Schizosaccharomyces pombe: one gene and its partners. The protein of the gene in region 4 interacts with the protein of the main gene of each other region in a pairwise test. Each region holds a gene or a part of one and is shown on either strand. Other genes may lie near its edges.

Evidence for each region.
Region 1: the proteins of SPOM_SPCC622.15C (region 4) and wwm2 interact in a two-hybrid assay, tested with the Schizosaccharomyces pombe proteins (one large-scale study listed by BioGRID).
Region 2: the proteins of SPOM_SPCC622.15C (region 4) and ntu1 interact in a two-hybrid assay, tested with the Schizosaccharomyces pombe proteins (one large-scale study listed by BioGRID).
Region 3: the proteins of SPOM_SPCC622.15C (region 4) and SPOM_SPAC30D11.14C interact in a two-hybrid assay, tested with the Schizosaccharomyces pombe proteins (one large-scale study listed by BioGRID).

What each region holds. Positions count from the first base shown.
Region 1 is NC_003423.3:202,538-206,241, forward strand, and holds wwm2 (protein wwm2), read left to right. Parts: upstream 1-1,921; 5' UTR 1,922-2,111; coding exon 2,112-2,933; 3' UTR 2,934-3,184; downstream 3,185-3,704. Other genes in the region: protein wwm3, read left to right, coding at 1-430.
Region 2 is NC_003423.3:4,241,745-4,247,985, reverse strand, and holds ntu1 (regulatory protein ntu1), read right to left. Parts: upstream 4,242-6,241; 5' UTR 3,987-4,241; coding exon 3,897-3,986; exon of another isoform or gene 3,829-3,896; intron 3,627-3,828; coding exon 3,596-3,626; intron 3,489-3,595; coding exon 1,126-3,488; 3' UTR 560-1,125; downstream 1-559. Other genes in the region: SPOM_SPBC16G5.17 (transcription factor), read right to left, coding at 1-168; DNA-binding forkhead transcription factor Fkh2, read left to right, coding at 5,324-5,835, 6,128-6,241.
Region 3 is NC_003424.3:1,090,789-1,094,938, forward strand, and holds SPOM_SPAC30D11.14C (RNA-binding protein), read left to right. Parts: upstream 1-1,599; 5' UTR 1,600-1,652; coding exon 1,653-3,257; 3' UTR 3,258-3,591; downstream 3,592-4,150. Other genes in the region: tcd1 (Moeb/ThiF domain-containing protein), read left to right, coding at 1-1,347; small ubiquitin-like modifier-conjugating enzyme Hus5, read right to left, coding at 3,712-3,772, 3,828-3,907, 3,957-4,066, 4,109-4,132.
Region 4 is NC_003421.2:1,428,187-1,432,794, reverse strand, and holds SPOM_SPCC622.15C (uncharacterized protein), read left to right. Parts: upstream 1-1,945; 5' UTR 1,946-2,015; coding exon 2,016-3,689; 3' UTR 3,690-4,052; downstream 4,053-4,608. Other genes in the region: Jmjc domain-containing protein Epe1, read left to right, coding at 1-1,096; SPOM_SPCC622.14 (GTPase-activating protein), read right to left, coding at 4,273-4,518, 4,579-4,608.

The DNA of each region.
Region 1 (3,704 bases), on a different chromosome or scaffold from region 4:
GTCTGTTTATCAAACTTACAAGGGCTTGCCAGCTGGTTGGGTCGCCCAATGGGATCCAACTTATCAAGCTTACTTTTACATTAATGAAACGTTTGAAGGTGCTCAACCACAGTGGGAGCCTCCTATTCCAGGCTTGCATATTCCTCCTCCTCCCGGTACCACTACCGTCGTCTATCAAAAGGACGTGCCTCGCTCTTCTGACGGCTCACGGTCTATGACGGCTGGATTAGGAGGTTTCATGGTTGGAGCTTTAGCCGGCAGTGTTCTTCGTGGTCACCGTGCTTACTACGCCCCTCCTCCTCCCAGAGGCCCTTTGTTTGGTCCAAGAATCGGTGGTGGCCATCATGGCCCACTTCATGGTCCTCACGGTGGTTTCGGCGGCCGCGGTGGTGGACGCATGGGTGGACGTGGTGGACGTGGCCGCAGATGAAAAGCGTTGATTTTTATTTAAATTTGGTTCCGATTTCGTCCTACATACTATGGTCGTTGATTATGGAATCGCTCTTTTTTTTTGAGAACATCACTTTCTCCTTTGAATAGAATCACCAAATTCACGTATACGACTCTTTCGAAATTGTTAAATGGAAAACACGATATCCAGTGAAGTTCTTTTTATTCCCTTGAAATTTCATACTATTTTTGCTAATCGTTCTAAAATTGTTATATTCTGTTAGTCGTTCTTTGACCTAATTTCTTGTTTACTTATATTAATTTTGTTATCATCTGATCTTTACTTGTTTCAAGCTTCCTTATTTATTGTACCATTGCATTCTTTATTGGGATTTCGAGGAAAACGGTCTAATTTATAAAATTTCTGTTTAATACCAAAGAAGTAAGGAGCATATATTATAATGGGTGTGAATATCGACGGAGTTGGTTGTCGATGGAATCATTTTTTTGGCATTTATCACTTCGACGTGTATTTACTTATTTATTTATATTTTTTTTTGGTTAATTGTAAAAAATTGGGTGAAGCACAATTTTTGAAACTTTTAAAAAATCAATGGTTGTTTTTTCAGACGTTAAATTAGTTTATTATGCATGATTTAAAATAGTCAATTATATATCTTTCATTTATTATTATCATTGTTTTTTCATTACTAGTTGTCCTTTTTTTTTGGGTATTTTAGTTGAATAGTTTATAGTGGTGTATTACTGACTATATAATTGGCAAACTCAGATATTTGTTTGGTTTTGGATTAAATGCACAATTCCGAAAAAATTAAGGCAGAAAGAAAAAAAATTTTTTTTACACTTATGGGATGTCATACCACTATTTTAAAAGACAAACAGATATCATTTGAATCGTTTAAAACCTGTATTTATCAAGCTGTTTAAAATAAGAGAAATATAACTTGGCTCTTGGATACACATAATGAAATAAGAAAAGTTAATATATTTCAAAATTAAGAAATATTATCTACGGTACAACATTTATTTGTTCATATTACGATTATTCAGTAAGGATACGTAAATTTGTACCTGGCAATTATCAAATGAATGTCGAGGGTTTTCATAGCAATGCAAAACCGTTTGTTTTTAAGCAAAGCCGGCGATTAAAAAGGGTAATAAGAGCAATTTTCCTTTTTCAATTAGCTATGTTTCAAGTCAAGCAGCATTAGTGAAACCCTGATATTCTGAGTTTGAATAAAACAAATTGGCAGTCTATTTTCCATGAACAGCTTTCGATAATTAGTGAAGTACTTTTAAAAACACGTTAATACCACTTTAATGGAACTCGTAAATTCGTAAACTAGGAATGACGAATTATGGTTTGGGGCAATCACGATATAGTAAAATAACGAAATTTGCATAATGCTACTACCACTACATCAGCCTCTTATGTAATGATCTGTAGCGTATCAGATTTTCATTTCTTTTATAATCGTTCTATACCACTGCGCGATTTCTCCTTTTCCCTAACAGATACAGCTTACCACCAAAACTTTCTATCTTTAATACTCGAAAAATTAAGTATATAGATCTTAGAGAGTGATTTTTGAATATCTGCCTATAACATTTTTCTTTTCTTTGGTTAGAATCTTTCTAAGCCTCTATATCGTTTATATAGGTTTTTACTCTGTGTCTTTACAGAATTAATCATATAAAAAATGTCTGTCTATCAAACTCGTGAAGGTTTGCCCAGTGGATGGGTTGCTCAATGGGATGCTGAATATGGAACATACTTTTATGTTAACGAGTCAGCTCAAAATCCACAGCCCCAATGGGAACCACCAGTCGAAAATCTGAAACTTGCTCCTCCTCCAGGAGCCACAAGCGTTAATACAGCTGTGTATAATAACAATAACAATACTTCTGCTGCGAATACGAATGCTGCATACAATGCTAATACTGCTGCAAATGCCAATGCTAACACTGCCACGACTACCAATGCTGCCGCTACTACCAGCGCTGCATATAACCCCAATGCCCCTGCCAATACCAATGCTGCATACTATCCTAATGCTGCTGCCACTACCACTACCAATGCAGATGGTAGTGATAAAGGGCTGTTCAGTGGGCTTACCTCTTCTAATGGCTACACCACTGGCAACTCTTACAGTAGACCAAGCTACGTTGCTCCTGTCGCTGCAGGGTTAGGTGGATTGGCCTTAGGTGGCCTGGCTTCACACGCACTTGGCAATCTCTTTCACCATCGTGGTCATAACGGTGGTGGTTTCGGAGGTTTTGGTGGTGGTTCTGGCGGTCCTCCTCCTGGTCCTGGTGGATTTGGAGGCTTTGGAGGCTTTGGAGGTGAAGGCCATCATCATGGTGGTCACGGTGGCTTTGGAGGCGGCCCTGGAGGTTTTGAGGGCGGTCCTGGTGGCTTCGGAGGCGGTCCTGGCGGCTTTGGAGGCGGTCTTGGAGGTTTTGGAGGAGGCCCCGGAGGCTTTGGGGGTGGTCCTGGAGGTCATGGCGGTCCTGGTTGGTGAGACTGAGAAACATGGAACTAAATATTTGTTTATGAGCTTTTTATGTGAGTATATTGCGCAATAGATATTAAGTCGATACCGTTAAAAAATTTTTTATGTTTATACTCAGTTATTTTGCTAAAGTGAAATTGAATTTTATTAAGGTAGGACTTTCTGAAAGTATTAAGTAGAGCTGGGCAATTTTAGAAGTGCACATAGAAAAGCTCGCAAGCAAGCAATTTTGATATCCCTGTGTTGTTGTTTTTTAGGTTTATGTAGGAATGATTCAATGCAACAGTTTAGATATAGGTAAACATAAGTGCTGTATCTATAGCTGTGGAAACAATTCATGCTTGTTCATACGTAACATTTTATGCGCAAGTATTAAAAGATTCTAAAAAATATCTATTATGTTCATTATCTCGCACACGTCAAACCCAGTCTACTTCGAAATGCGTACGTGTATACTTTGGCTGTATACAATCTGAAATTTGAAATTTAAAGCTGTCAGATTAGCTTCTATTAATATTGCGTAAATCGGTTAGTTCAGAGTCTTTTATCCCAATACTTCGTCAGATTTGTATACTTTCTTCATTAAAAGTACATGTTTATCTTAACATAGAAGAGGTAAGTACCGCTAATTAACCGAATTGCAACTTGTAATTATAACAGCCAAATCATTTCAAACCAGAAGAGTGCAAGTTTAAAAAAAAAACCGATAGAACAACATACAGTGCCGCATTCAAACTACACATACATAGGGTTTCATCTCGTGGTATATAACGAGTCAAT
Region 2 (6,241 bases), on a different chromosome or scaffold from region 4:
AAGAAGTTGGACTGCTTGCTCGTTTACTCCATATGTACATGATTCTTCACTCTCTTTACATCGAGAACAAGGATATTGGCGGTCACATTTGACTTTTCGGCGCCTGCATCTCAGACAAGATCTAGCTCGAATATTTTTGTGGGCCCTATTTTTAGATTTCCCAACCATAATTTACCTAATTACGGTATTTCTTCTGTAGTAGAAAGTTGGATATTTCTATAAAATACAATTCACCATAAAAAATTATACGCACAAACTAAAGGTTTCATTCAGTATTAACCTGATAACCATCGAACTTTTAAGCTGGGATTATGCTTCAATTGAATCGATGAGACTACTAATATTTTACTGCAAACATTTTTATGAATGCAAAGGCGGTGTCAACGTTGTGTGGTGGTAAATATTGAGTGTGCAGGCTTAATTATTTAAATTCTTCAACGTCTAAAATACAGTGTAAGCATCAGATCTCGATACCATTTTTTTCGCAGAGCTTTTATTTAGAAGATTTTTATAGGGATCATTTTTTTAGCCTAGATGCCAAAGGTACTCAACAATACGTTCCACAGTTGGGTTTGCAGTTGCTTACAAAATAAACAGCTAATTGTCATTTTAGTAATTATACATTCCATCGTGAAAGAAAATGCACACTATTAAAGTTTTTAGTTCATCAATTGCTTTGCAGTAATCCATTATAATGTAGAACTTCAACGTAACTTTACTCCAAAATTTTTAGCTTTTAACACTACTTGGTTATTCATTGCTGATAATAATGCGCGTAAATATCACTAGCTAATGGACATGAAGCAGTAGGCTAACTCTCTAAGCTTGATCAAAAGATCAAAAAGCAAATCTATCACAAACATCTAGGAAGACAGATAATCTAGATATTCAATCGTTCTATTATTCAATAAACATAAAAAGCTAATCATCAACCAAACAAAATATCACTTAATTAAAAGGAACAAAAAATAAGTTTTTTAAAAATGTCAATGTTTTTTCTCATGAGCAAACCCTAAAAGTTGGAGCTAGAACCCTTATTAAAGATAAAAAGTGAAGCAAGAATTATTGCAGAAAAAAAAATTTTGAAAACAAAAGTGAGTTTCTATGCTTAACAACATTGATCGCTCACTCGGTTCTTTTAGAGTTTGAGGAACTTGGATGGTCAGGAGAATTATTAGAACCATCTCGGACAGTAGGATAAGCAACTTGGTTAGTCATGGAAGGTGGTTGAATGAAGGGATACGGCATGCCAGATTTTGCAGCTCCAGGTGCCATCATAACCCCTGAAGTAGGCAGTGGTAGCATTTGTTCTGACAAGGGAAAAGGCGGGTGCTGGTAAGGATACTGTGAATATGCTTGGAAAGCCTGAGGCATATTCGAAGTTGGACTCATGTATGGAGGGTATGAAGTATTATACGGGAAAGGTACTGGAGAATAGGTGTTCGGAACATAAAAACCATTCGCTGTTGGCATTGAAGAACCATAATTAATCATAACCCTATCATGAGGGTATACATTACCATCAGAATAGGAAGGATATCCGTTTTGTCTAGGATAAGATTGATCCTGTGTACGCCCACCATACGTAGGCATAGGGAAATTTGTTGGTGCATTTTGAAACTGGGCAGGATTATAGTAACCTGGGTAAGGAGCATCTGAATAAAATATTTGTGCTTGCGGAAACTCTCTAGGTATATTACTAGTTCTCTGCGAAAAGTTGTTTGGTAGTTGTCCTGTAACATCCGGGGTCGCATCCAAATTTTCAGTACCAGATGAGTTCATATCATACGCAATTAGCAAGTTCTTGATTGCCTCCATTATTGTACTATAGTAAGTGGATTCGCGGTATATCATTTGTAGACAATGAAATCCTAATCTTGCCTTAGTTATGAAATTATTAGATTTATTGGCATCGTCCTTCGTCAAAGTAGCACAATATGTCAAGGTCATTAACGCGTAGTATCCAGAATACAAATTGAAAAACAGTTTGGGAGTATTTGGAGATTTGGCCAATTCCTGTAACAAAAAAACAACACGCTCCGCAGATTGTGCACACTTTAAAGCAAAATTTGCAGGTTTCATTGGCGACCCATTCTGATTATCAATTGGTGTACTAATACTGTGAATAAAAGGGCGATAGAAAATGAGTTCTATTTGCCTGAATTTCAATTCCAGTATTATTGCTTGGATCCATTTGGGTGAAAATTTTGGAACTTCGCTCATTTTTAAATAAGAAGGTAAGTTTTTCCACCAATATGTAAGTTTTTCTTCATGATCACGAACAGCTGGTAATGAAACTTTACAGTGTGAGTCAGAGGGCGATTTGACTGGATACACTTTCCTTACAAAATGACTTAAAATACGAGAAAGCGTTATGTGTTGTATAAAAACTTCCAAGCTAGTGCATTCTGATGCTATTAATCGTGGAGGAACCTGGTCATTTTCTAATGTGAAATCAAAAGAATTGGGTAACGATTGATCAATATCAACGTCCTCAATACTGAGAGGAAGACCAACAATTGTACTGGTGTAACAAGCCAAAACGTACACAGAATAAAATACCCGTTTGGATAACCGAGATTCATGAGATGTGAGAACGTCTGAAAAATCCTTGTGCAATCCCAATTCGTGGCAACACAATAACGCATTATTCGTGAACGTATAAGCTTGAGAAAGTCGGGAACTGAACAAAGCAAAAAGCGCAACAGACAATAAAATTTGCACAACTTCAATCGTATAACTATCTTCCCATGAAAATGAAGACCGAATGTAATAGTAATACTCGTAAGCTTCATGATAAGGATAGTTAGCACTAGGAGATTCATCGGGCATATAGGTGTAACCCAAGCACAATGTAGCGACAAGTAAAAAATGAAAATTGTTATCAGTCTTGCCAGTTTTGTAATACATATGCATCTTCTCAAAGAAAGATGCAGGATGATGAATATGTACCAAAAAATGGTCATTCATAAAAAATTGGCTAACAATAGAAAGAGCCTCCTCATATGGAGGTAGCTGAATTTTGAGAGGCGGTTTTTTATGTTCATCTTCGGCAGGGGTGGGTGGAAGATACGGAAAAGATAAAGGATCTGGCTGAGAAGAAGATGAATTAGATTCTTGGACAGGATTGGGAACCGTAGAATTCCTCGCAATGTTTTGATGTATATTTTTCATAAAGACAAAGCCAGAGGAACTTCCACGAAAGTCGGCTTTCCCATCATCTTTTAAACTCAATTGTCCATACCGGTCGAATAAGCTTTCAAACTCGTCCTGTGACGAGCTTCTTTTAGAGGAATCAGAGCGTTTCCAAGGAGATTGGTTCACAGGAGAATCTTTGTCATTTGGAGGAGCCAGAAATGATGGCAACTTTAAATTTGGATCGCTTTCTTCAGCCAGTCCCCTCAGATATTTCAATCGAAGCTCCAAAAATTCTATATACTTCTCAGGAGCATGCCGTAATCGCTTAAAAGGTTGACCATAAGTACATTCTTCAACAAAGTTAGAAAACTCCATCCAATTATAATAGAGGCTTGAAATAAATTTTAAAGCGACTAAACTTGAAGAAAATAATCTCATCTAAATTGTAGGCACTTACCATAGTTATATGCTATGCAATTCGAGCAAGGCTGAAAAAGTTAGTAAAGAACAGAAATTTATATTTATTTCTAATCGCTCATCCAAATTAATGCAAATAAGATAGAAAAAGAGCAATAAAAGCCAAAAAAATAATAAATTAACGACAAAGGTTATCCGCATGCTCTCTAGCTGAACTGAAATCAATCAAGCTACAATCAACTTCAGAGAAAGCGGTAACTGGGTGAAGTGAGTTCTCAGTTCCCAACTCAAATAATAAAATTATGCAAAACATAAATAGAGCAAAGAAATTGACATCTTACCCTTCTCTGATCACATTTGATCTTTCTCCTGTGACATTCATCACATGCTCTAGAAACACGCTGTCTACGAGATACATCGCCGGAAGACATTCAGCAGCCTATCAATAAACTATGTTGAAGCCTGCTAACTTCAAACTTGAGGGAGAACAGGTCTTTTAATTTGTATTTATCGAATCGTTGTTACCGGTTTTTACAACCGAAAGTTAACGCAAGTGAGCAAAAATGCAGTTTATCATTCAAAATTTAACGCTTTGAAACTAAAGGAATTTGGTGCTTTAGATAGGTAAATAAATAAATAAATGGTGATCGCTGCGAAGCGATTATGGATGATATACGCGACAGGTTAAACCTACGAGAGTGTGTGCCAGCGATCGTATACATCCGCTAAATAGTAATTACTCGTTACTTCACGTTAGCATACATGTGTAGGTGAAGCAATGAGATTATACCATGCTAAATGTTTTTGTTGCGGTATGTTAAATATCGTTATAAGCCTGACATCTTCACGTGTGAGTTCTCCAATGAGTCCTGAAGCTGGAACCATCAAGCCGTTTATTGACTATTTTCAATATTACTGAAGAAAAAAGTATGGGAAATAAAGATCATTCAAGATCAAGTTTGTCTGTTCATGTAAGCCACATATTATTTATTATAATATCAAAGTCTCTCCGTGCCTGAGTTATGTTCGGTAACTGTATATTGCATAATACTTTCTGTTGTGTACCACACATTATAGTGCGCTACGAACTCACCAAATAATATTACGTATCCTACAGAGACTTCGCGAATCGCGTAGTTAGTAAAAATATGGAAAATAACGTGAGTAAACAGTTGAGCGTTAATATTGCAGCCACACAAAATCGGTTGATTGAAAGCGAAATAATGATTCGGAATTTCCATAAAACACAATTAATACTCTTAGTGTATTCATGTAATAGCTTGTACAGTTCTCAAAATAAATCTTCAGTAGACACGTTTTAAATAATAGGGTAATTACTAGGATATGCACGCGACCGTTAGACGCCATTACATGTGCAAAAAACACTGAGTGCTGAAAAGCTAAAATTATTACAAGTCTTGCAGAGTTATGATTGTTTGAGTTTTTTTTTTTTATAAGTTAATCCTACGCCAATATATTAAGAGGATTTTTTTAACTGCTTAGTATTTAAAAAAGTATATCGAAGATCCGGTATCTTGATTGTTTACAAAAATATAAATAGCAACGATAACAAAGACGCATTGTTGACAAAAATAAAAAATGTACAAATATTTAGAAAAATGTATATTTTAATTTCTATGTATCTAAAATGATGGTCAATATTAGTTATACCGTGAAGCGCTGGCAACGGAAGGTAAACGAATGTTGACAACAACAAACGAGTGTAAATAAACACACACCAACAGCACAATTGCTGTAGAAAGGAAAAATGACTGTTCGCAGACTCGAAAGCAAGTCTGAGCATATATCAGATGACGAGGAGAGAAAAGAACAGTTAGATTACAAAAAGCAAATGGATGTAGACACAGATCGTAACATTGTATTGAATGGTCGCCTGGAATCCCAAATTGCGAAGTTGTCCGTTCCACCTCACGAAATGAGAGTGGTCGATGATTATTCGAACAGTAAAAATGCGGAAAGACACTCTGGAGAAATACAAGCTTATGCGAAATTCGCTGGAAGTACATGGACTTATTATGTTAAGAAAATTCGAATTATACTTGGTCGCGAACCAGCAAATCCTTCACCAAAGGGGAAAAATGAAGATTTAGAAGTAATTGATATGAATTTTGGTCCTTCTAAAGTTGTGAGTCGAAAACACGCTGTTGTGGAATATGATTTGGATGACCAAACATGGAATTGCTCAGTTTACGGTCGAAATGGCATTAAAGTAGATGGCAAGTTATTCAAGAATGGGGAAACAGTCAAGCTTACAAGTGGGTATGTTAAAAATCATTTACTAGAATAGTGTTGGTTCGTCGTGATTTGCGACAGGACGGAATATTGATGGTTTCAGCAGCGCATAATTTATGCTTTACTCTTTCATAAGTTCTATGGTTTTCTCGTGTTATTTGTCAATTTTAAACGAATGTTTGGTTATTTTATAAATGCGCGTTAAGGATTTGTCAAATTATCAAGAAAATAATTATTTCCGTCCTAGTTCAAATAAATGCAGGAAATTATGCCAATTATTTTTTTTTATTTCTTTTTCGTCTTACTAATTATCTACTAGATCTATACTCGAAGTAGCGGGTTTACAAATGATGTTCGTACTACCCAATGCAGCTGAGCAAAAGCAAACTGACGAAAGCACTATAAAGGAGGATGCTATAAAGTCTGAAATTTC
Region 3 (4,150 bases), on a different chromosome or scaffold from region 4:
TCTTCTGTAACGACAGCATGCGTAATCCTTGGAACGTTGGAGTTTCGTAAACATCGCTCAATTCGTCGCTTACAGTCGATGATTGTTCCTGAAGCTGGTAAAAGTATTCAACTTTCTTCTTCTGGTGTACCTATAGAAATTTATGATGCTGGGGAAGAGGATGAAGGAATAAGCAAAGGCGTTCCGTACGATGAAAATCTGATACGTGAACAGCTGGCTCGAAATTATGCATTTTTTGGAGAAGACGGTATGGAGCGTCTGCGCAACTCTTTTGTTATCGTCGTAGGCTGTGGTGGTGTTGGAAGCTGGGTGATTAATATGCTTGCACGCTCTGGTGTGCAAAAAATTAGAATTGTCGATTTTGATCAAGTATCTCTTAGTAGCCTAAATCGTCATTCCATAGCCACGTTGCAAGATGTTGGTACTCCAAAGACTCTTGCTATAAAAAAGGCGATTAAAAAATTTGCCCCTTGGATTGAAGTAGATGCTCGTAACGCACTTTTCAATCCCGACTCCGCCGACGATCTTTTGTCTGGCAATCCTGATTTTGTAATCGACGCTATAGATAACATCCAAACTAAAGTTGATTTATTAAGTTATTGCTACAACCACAAACTTCCCGTAATTGCTTCTACCGGGTCTGCATGCAAATCTGATCCGACTCGTGTTAACATAGCAGATATATCAGCTACTTCTGAAGATCCTTTATCAAGAGCTACTCGTCGTAGGTTGCGTCTCCTTGGTATTATGGAAGGTATTCCTGTCGTATTTTCTACTGAAAAACCAGATCCTAGAAAAGCAAGTTTGTTACCTCTCTCTGAGGAAGAGTTTGAAAAAGGAGACGTTGATGAGTTGAGTGCTTTACCCGAATTCCGTGCTCGTATTCTTCCTGTAATAGGACCTATGCCTGGTATTTTTGGACTTACAATTGCTACTTATGTTTTGACTTCTATTGCTAAATACCCTATGGATCCCATTTCTACCATGACGCGTCCTCGCTTATACGAAGAGGCTGTTAAACGTTTACATGCTGAAGCTCGCAAAGCTGGAGTAAACCTAGATAAAACTTTTAATGCATCTGAGATGTCATATATCATTGAGGAGGTTTACGTTGGTAGAAGCGCTCTTCCCCCGCATGAGTCTCAAAAAGTCACTGTTGTTCGATGGAACCCACAATTACCTTTTGATCACACCAATCTTGTAGCTATGACACGGAACGAAGCTCGCTATCATGAAGATAATGTCTTAGCAAAGAATGTGGATCCTTCTACAGTATATGGCAAGGATGTAATTGAGGTTGTTCACAGTTTTCTAAGGCGATTACGAATGTGGGAAATGCTTTATTGAAAAACTTGTCACTATAATTGAGTTTATTCTTCTGATAGAATTTGTTTTCAGAGCAGTACAAATAGGTAATTTAAGCCTTTGCTGACTGCATGTATTATAAATAGATAAATAAACAAACAAATAAATAAATATATATATATATATGAAATTGCCATTTGCTCAAACATGTAAAACATCCACCATACATTTGTCTTAAAAAATTATTATATAACGTGCTTCGTTCAACCTCCTTCTTTGACTTTTTCGTATAAGCACTACTTCTACTATGTCCACACAGTTTGCGTATATAGCTAAAGTTAAGTTTCATGTCTGATTCAAGACAAAATTCCCAACGGGAAGATAATTATTCTCGGGATAGACGATCTAGGTTTACGGAGGATTCGTATAGTAGAAGAGATTCACAGCGGTCGGGCAATGAGGCACCCCGAGAATCAAGATATTATCGCAAAGAAGAACACCTTCAAGAGCGTTCTCGAAGTCGAAGTCCTGCTAGAGATTCAAGATGGAAATCTTCTTCATCAGGTTTTGCCCCAGCGCATCCGCCAATCGAAGAACCGACAAACAATGGAGCTGAGGCAGCAGCTGCTGCCGCCAGACGGATCGCCGAATCATTACAAAGTACAAAAGCAACGTCCAGCAGGACTTCATATGATCATTCAGAAGGGATAACCTCAACGACATCTGCGTCACCTCCAAGTGCACCTGCTCCTCCACTTCCTCCAAGTTCTGAGGGACCCGCAGTTGATATTCCTCCGTCTATGGCCGATATTACTAGCAAGGTTATAGAAGGGGACGGTGTCTTTATGCAGGATGTTGAAATTAACAATGTGCGTAATCGCTACATTTTGGTGCGTGCCTCAACCCTTTCTGAGATCGAGAATAAAAGTGGCGTGCAATTATTTTCCAAAGGACGATATTATCCAAATAAAGCTTTAGCTACTGACAAGGATCCTCCACTCTATCTCCACATAGTATCGCATAACAGGAAAGATCTAACGGTTGCCCTGCAGGAAATTGAATCTTGGATTAATAAAGACATGGGTCCTTTAATCGACGAGCGAAGATTTCGCCGCCGAGAAGATAATGAAAGGAATAACTCTAACTCGCCTCGTAATTTTTCAACGCATGGCAATGGTAATGGGGAAAACGGTCAACCGCGACGAAAGTGGCTAGAAGAAAAAGTATATATTAATTTAACTCCAAGTCGTGGATTTCATTTACGTCAAGCAATTGTTGGCCCACAGGGAGCATATGTAAAGCATATACAACAGGAAACTCGCACCCGTGTTCAGATTAAAGGGCAAGGTTCTGCTTTCATAGAGCCATCGACAAACCGCGAATCAGACGAACCTATACATTTGTGCATCATGAGTCACGATCCTAATGCCATCCAAAGAGCTAAGGTTTTATGCGAGGATTTAATAGCCAGTGTCCACCAACAGTATAAAGCTTGGAAGTCACAACCAAAAGATCGTGATCAAAATCAAGGAAATCGTGCCTACAATCCACCAAACCGGAATCAGGCATTCTCCGCACGAGACTCACGACAAGAAAAAACTCAACCAACTAATGCTTCCCCTGCACCATTAGTAACACCATCGTTACCCGTACCATCTATTCCAGCTGTTCCAGGAATGGAAGCTATGGCAATGCCTCCTGGTGTCACTTCATCTATTGCAGTACCGACGACTTCTTCTATGCCTTTACAGGGTATGCCTACTATGTTTGGTGCTCCTGGAGTTAGTGCTCCTGGTACAGAAGCACCAGGGACTGGTACGCCTGGTTTAACTACTCCAGGAGTAGATCCGTACGCAGCTTATGGAGGATACAATGCGTATGTACAATATTATCAACAGCAAATTTATGCTCAAATGCATGGTGTCAGCGGTGATCAATCGCACCCACAGTAGATAGCGTTTGAGCATTACTAAAAAGAATGTTTATTGTTGATCATTAAAATACTATTTTTGGTTGCTTAATGTTCTGAAACCTTGATTGTGCTTATTAAAGTACATTCTACTGTCTTAGTTGTAAAAAAAAAACACTATATTTAAATAGTGACCATTTTTTGAGGGCATACAATTATTAAATTATAGTTTACTTTCTAATTGATTTAAAGGAATTTGTCGAGGTAAATTCTATCACTTAAGACGTGGTTGATTTAATGAACTTTTTAAAAAAAACATATTTAAATAATTAGTGGTATTATCTTGTATCAATCTTTTATCCTAACAAACAAAAAGCAACCGACTTGTGAAACCGCTAATAAGATTGAGATTTTATCTCAACTAGTCAAGCAAAGAAATATACACATCAGGAAAAATAATATTAAACAATAAAAAATAAGAAAAAGTACCAGTCAGTTTATGGAGCATTTTCACGAGCCTGAGCACGAACTCGTTTTTCGTACTCGACTTTATCCTTTCTAAACGAGGTTAATTATATTTGATGGTTGTGGAAACAGTAGTTATGATACTTACTTGAACATTGTATATGCTTCTGTTTGAGCGGGAGAGGCAATATTAGGATCATCTAAAAGATCCTGAATACCCAGCAAAATCTAGAAATGGTTAAAACCTGGAGATTAAGAAATTGATTTGAATTCTTACCTGCTTAATTGTAATTGCCGGTTTCCAGCCTTCTTCTTCATTAAGTATTGAGAGACAAACGGTGCCAGAAGGATAAACGTTTGGATGAAATAACGGTGGAGTAAACCTACCTGTACAAAAGCATTAGCAAAAAATCGTAGTTATATGCTTACATTTGGGGGGACGAGTTGGATATTCTGTGATTGCAGTTAGTA
Region 4 (4,608 bases):
AGAATCTCAAATACAAACAGGAAAGAATAATTGCTCTTTTCAGTTAGTAAAAAAGAGGATTAAGAGTACTAAAAAGGCACCCAGCTGGCGCTCGATAATTAAGGCTTTCAAGAAGCGAGAAAATACTAGGTGTAATTTTCTGTCAAGTTTACATGCAACTACGTTTCGTGAGGACATTGTCGTTCGTCCTAAAATCAAGTCATTCGTTCTCGAACAGTTGATCTTTCAGGCGTTGTTTTCATTTGCTATCAATTGGACACCAAGCTTCTTTTTGAATCACTCCAATTTTGAGAATATTGCGTTGAGTAAAGAAACGTTTAACTTTGGAGGTGAAGCCAATTGCGAAAATACGGACACCACATTATTTACTACTTGGGGCGATCAAGGTTTTAGACCAAGTGATTCTATTTGCTATAACGACTTTAATTTATTGGAAACGGCGAATTCTGATGCTGAAGCTTCAATACATGAACTCGAACTTCAACCGCTGAATGCAGTGAATGAAAGAGAGGTTGATATATCGCAAACCGACATGACTCCATCCACGGCGTTAGACACTAGGGTAGACACTAGGGTAGACTCTTTACCAGAATTTTCAAACTTGATACTTTCGCCCTCAAGCAATGACGACAGTTTTCAACTTGACGACTTGTTGTCCCCCTCTTCATCAAATCTCAAACAACAGATTCAAAAAGTCGTTCCTCAAAATTCCCTAGAATTTTCTGTTGGTGAGAAAGAAAAAAAGGCAGCCGAATATAGCCTGCTTCATACGTTTTCTTACAAACGACTCTCTATGGAAAATGAGAAACCAGATACTACAAAGGTACCTTTAAAATATAACATACAACATGAAGAAATGAAAGCGTATCGAAGAAAAAATGATTTAGAATATATAGATCAGCACTTTGCAAGCTCTAAGAGTGGAATTTCGAATGGGAGGAATAATAATAAAGAGGTCAACTTAACAAAAGCTGAAAATGTCGGCATCAAAAAACGTCGAATCATGAAAAATGAAAATAACATTTATGATTTTGAAGATCACTCTCCTGTTAGGGAAAAATGGGGGCACAGGCTTCGGTCCAGAGGTGCTAGTTAAAGTACCTCGGCACTTTTTATTTCCTTCGGCTACCATTGAATATTTATCCCCACGTGCTTATGATTCTTGAGTAGTTCACATTTTATGAGTATATCATGAAGGTTTCATCAAATAATTAAGACTCTTTTTTTTTCTATTAATTGGGTTTTTATTTATAAAACGATTAAGAGCATCAATCCACTTTGACTCGTTGTTTGCTTTTAAACTACGATCGTCCTAAAATGATTTATGGACTACATAACACACAATGGAGTCATTGAAAGCGTGGACATCCCCATGAAGCGGCGCAGGGACACTCAACCTGAACGGATTGTATCAAAGCCGGATACTACAACACACTTTTTAATATGAATGTCTCCTATTGGCGTCGTCTCGTCTACTTTATCCATCTCAGCTGATGCAACGACGCTTCAGGGTTTTCCATCCAAATCCCAATTTACCAGCCTTACTTTTTTATAATGTGCTAATATTGTTGAATTGTGCTCAAATATGTACATATACTACCCGATATAATGATTCTATAAATACTCTTTTTCTGTTTTTTTTTTTGGAACTCATATAAATAAATAATCCGGCGATCTAACTACAAGCCACGTTTCTATTAATCTAATCGGTCGTTTCATCTTTGAATATTATTTAATTAATTTATTTTCCTATTTTAATTGTTAATACTACTAGAAACAATGGTAATATTCTAGATTTCTATTATCTTAAGATTTCCGCATTGCAACCTGCTAAGTAATCTTATCAATGCGTTAGAACGCGTAATGTTATTTTACATTTTACGGTCCGCAAGCTAAAGCATGCACTATGTATTCATTGCCATACGCGAGCAATGTACCCGGCCTTAACAATACAGTAGACGGATATTGGAATTCAAGCGGAATTGAATATTTCTGCTTTGAATTGACTTAAAATAATGAATGAAGATGAAACTTCAATTTTAAATAAGAAAATGGAGAAAATTGAGGTAGAAATGGCGGAATTTGAACGATTGGGCGCTGAAAGAGAGAAGGAGGCGGTCGAAAGAATTGTTCAAGAGGAAAATCAAAATCCTGAAGTTCCATCGAACGATGACGCGTCCACAGATATTAAATCGCGAAAAGAAGGAAATATGAAAGTCACCGCCGAGGAAATTGGTTTGGAGACTGAGAACTTTGATGAGCTACCTGTAAGTAATGGATTTGGTGTAAGCCGACGAGAAACCCATTACGGTAACAACAGGACGTATTACAAAAATTCTCAAGGATATCGAAGAAAACCCAAGAGAGATGATTATAACAATAACCGAAAAAACTTTTATCCTCCTATACAAAATTCTACATATTTTATAAACGCTACCGGGGGAATTGACTCCATGCCATATTTTGGTTTAAATAATGCTCCCGGCAATATCTATCCCTTCTCAATGTATAAACCTTTGGAAGCGGATCCGCAGTATTTATCTGTTCCCTCATCCATGCCTTCCAGAAGGGAAGCTGGTATGGCTTATGGATATCAGAACTACAAACGAGGTGGTTATACTCCTAATACGCAGTATTTTGAGGAGCCTCTTAATAACACCTCTTTTCCTAATTCCCAAGGGAAAGAGGGAAAAAATTCGGGGTATCGTAAATCGTCAAGGATCCTCGATATCCGTGTAAAGTTTGGAAACTCTTCTATGAAAGCCATCAATTTTCAACCTAAAAAGAAAATTGTCCATGTCGTGCATAATCCCCGTCTCCATCAGAACAAAGTTCTTCGCGTCAGTATACCTGGATCCCAACCAGCACTGGTTACACCCAAACATAAAATGAATGTTCCTCCTATGGGAATGTATCCCTTACCTTTCTCCCCTTTACCTTCTGCAGCTCCGCCTATTCCTTTTTCCCCTAACGTCTCTTCCCATCCACATATGGCTTTTCTTCCAGCCACTGTACCAACTCATTCTGCTCCTCCTGGATTTGTCCCTTACGATTTTCCTATTACAAATGACAAAATGTATCCTTCACCCTCATTTCAAGAGGAATTTCCATCAACTTCAAAGTCCCCTTCGGCCACACCGGGATCTTCTAACGCTCCTGTTGTGGATATGCATCCTAGCGCTGATTCCGCTACGTACCCTACTTCCATATATCCCTCTAATGTACGTGCAAGAGATGATTCTCAGCAAGCTTATATTTCTGCGAATATGACTACCGGTGAAATGCCATCCATGACCAATGTTCCCGCTGGTAATGCACCTGCAGCACCGGGAACCATGTACACAACCCCTTTACCTACTGCCAATAGTCCGATTGCATATCAATCCTACTCTGTTATGCCGACTTACTGGTCGTTTCCTCAAAATTATGATTCCACCGTTCCCGCGGTCTATCCTTATATGCCTCCTCCATTTTCTGGCAGTGATATGAATGTAATGTCCAATCCTGCTGCCGATACTTTACGATCTTATTCACCTGCTAGTCAGGTCTCAACTCCCCCCTTCGGTTTCGTTTATTACTATGACCCAAATCAGTATTACGTACCAGTTAGTAACGAATCAGCCAATGCTACTAGCCAGCCGTTGTCTAACTTAGACACTGGAGGCAGTGCGCCTTATGACCATATTTGATGGGTCAATGACTTATTGTCTTTTGTTAGAATGATTTTTATCATTGAGCTTTTAAGCATTTTGATTTAATTATGTTATGACCAGCATTTTTGTTTTGGAAAATGACCGGCAATGCCTATATCCTCATATCTTCGTCTTTCCTGTTTTCTTTTAAAATCCACTCTACATACCGATTAGGCATCGTCGACTAAAAAAGAAAAAAGTCATTGGTTTTATTCAAGAAAGCACATGATCCGGTTATCTTCTTAAAATTTAGCCGGCATTCAACTTATGCTAATGAAAATAAAATATGTTATTATCATTTTTTTCATTGTTTTGAACTATAAGCCTAAAACGATGAAACTTTTGTAACAGAAATAAACAAGAAGACTCCGTCTTCAATATATACAAACTTTTTTTTTCAGTTCCCCATGTATTATACTTGAAGAAGCTTCAAATGTCAGATAATTCTAATGAAGTAGCAATATTTTTTTTATCGGTAGCGTTCTTCGTTTATGTTTTAGCTGACGAATGCTTGATAGACGAGGCACTCCTAACAGCAATGAAACATATCAAACTGCTTACGAGTTTAATAATAAAAAAGTCAATCGTGCTTATCGAAATTCTTTTTCGAATAGTCTTCAGGTGGAGGAGAGGCAGCGAGAGCTGAATAAGGAGAGTCGATTTCCGCATCATAAGTACCGCGGGTGTTTTGGGGGTTTTCGGAATATACATTTTCATCCAAAAAGGATTTAAGTTGTGTAAATGATTGCTTAGCACCTTCCTGAACGTTACTAGAGAAATTATTAATGGCATTCATGTAATCCTTCCTTGTTTCGGGATCTTGAACCTAAAAACAGAGTCAGTACAACAGAAACTTTATTTTTTGGATACAATAAAATGTTTGTACCTTTGTAATCCCTGGCTGAATATAGGACTT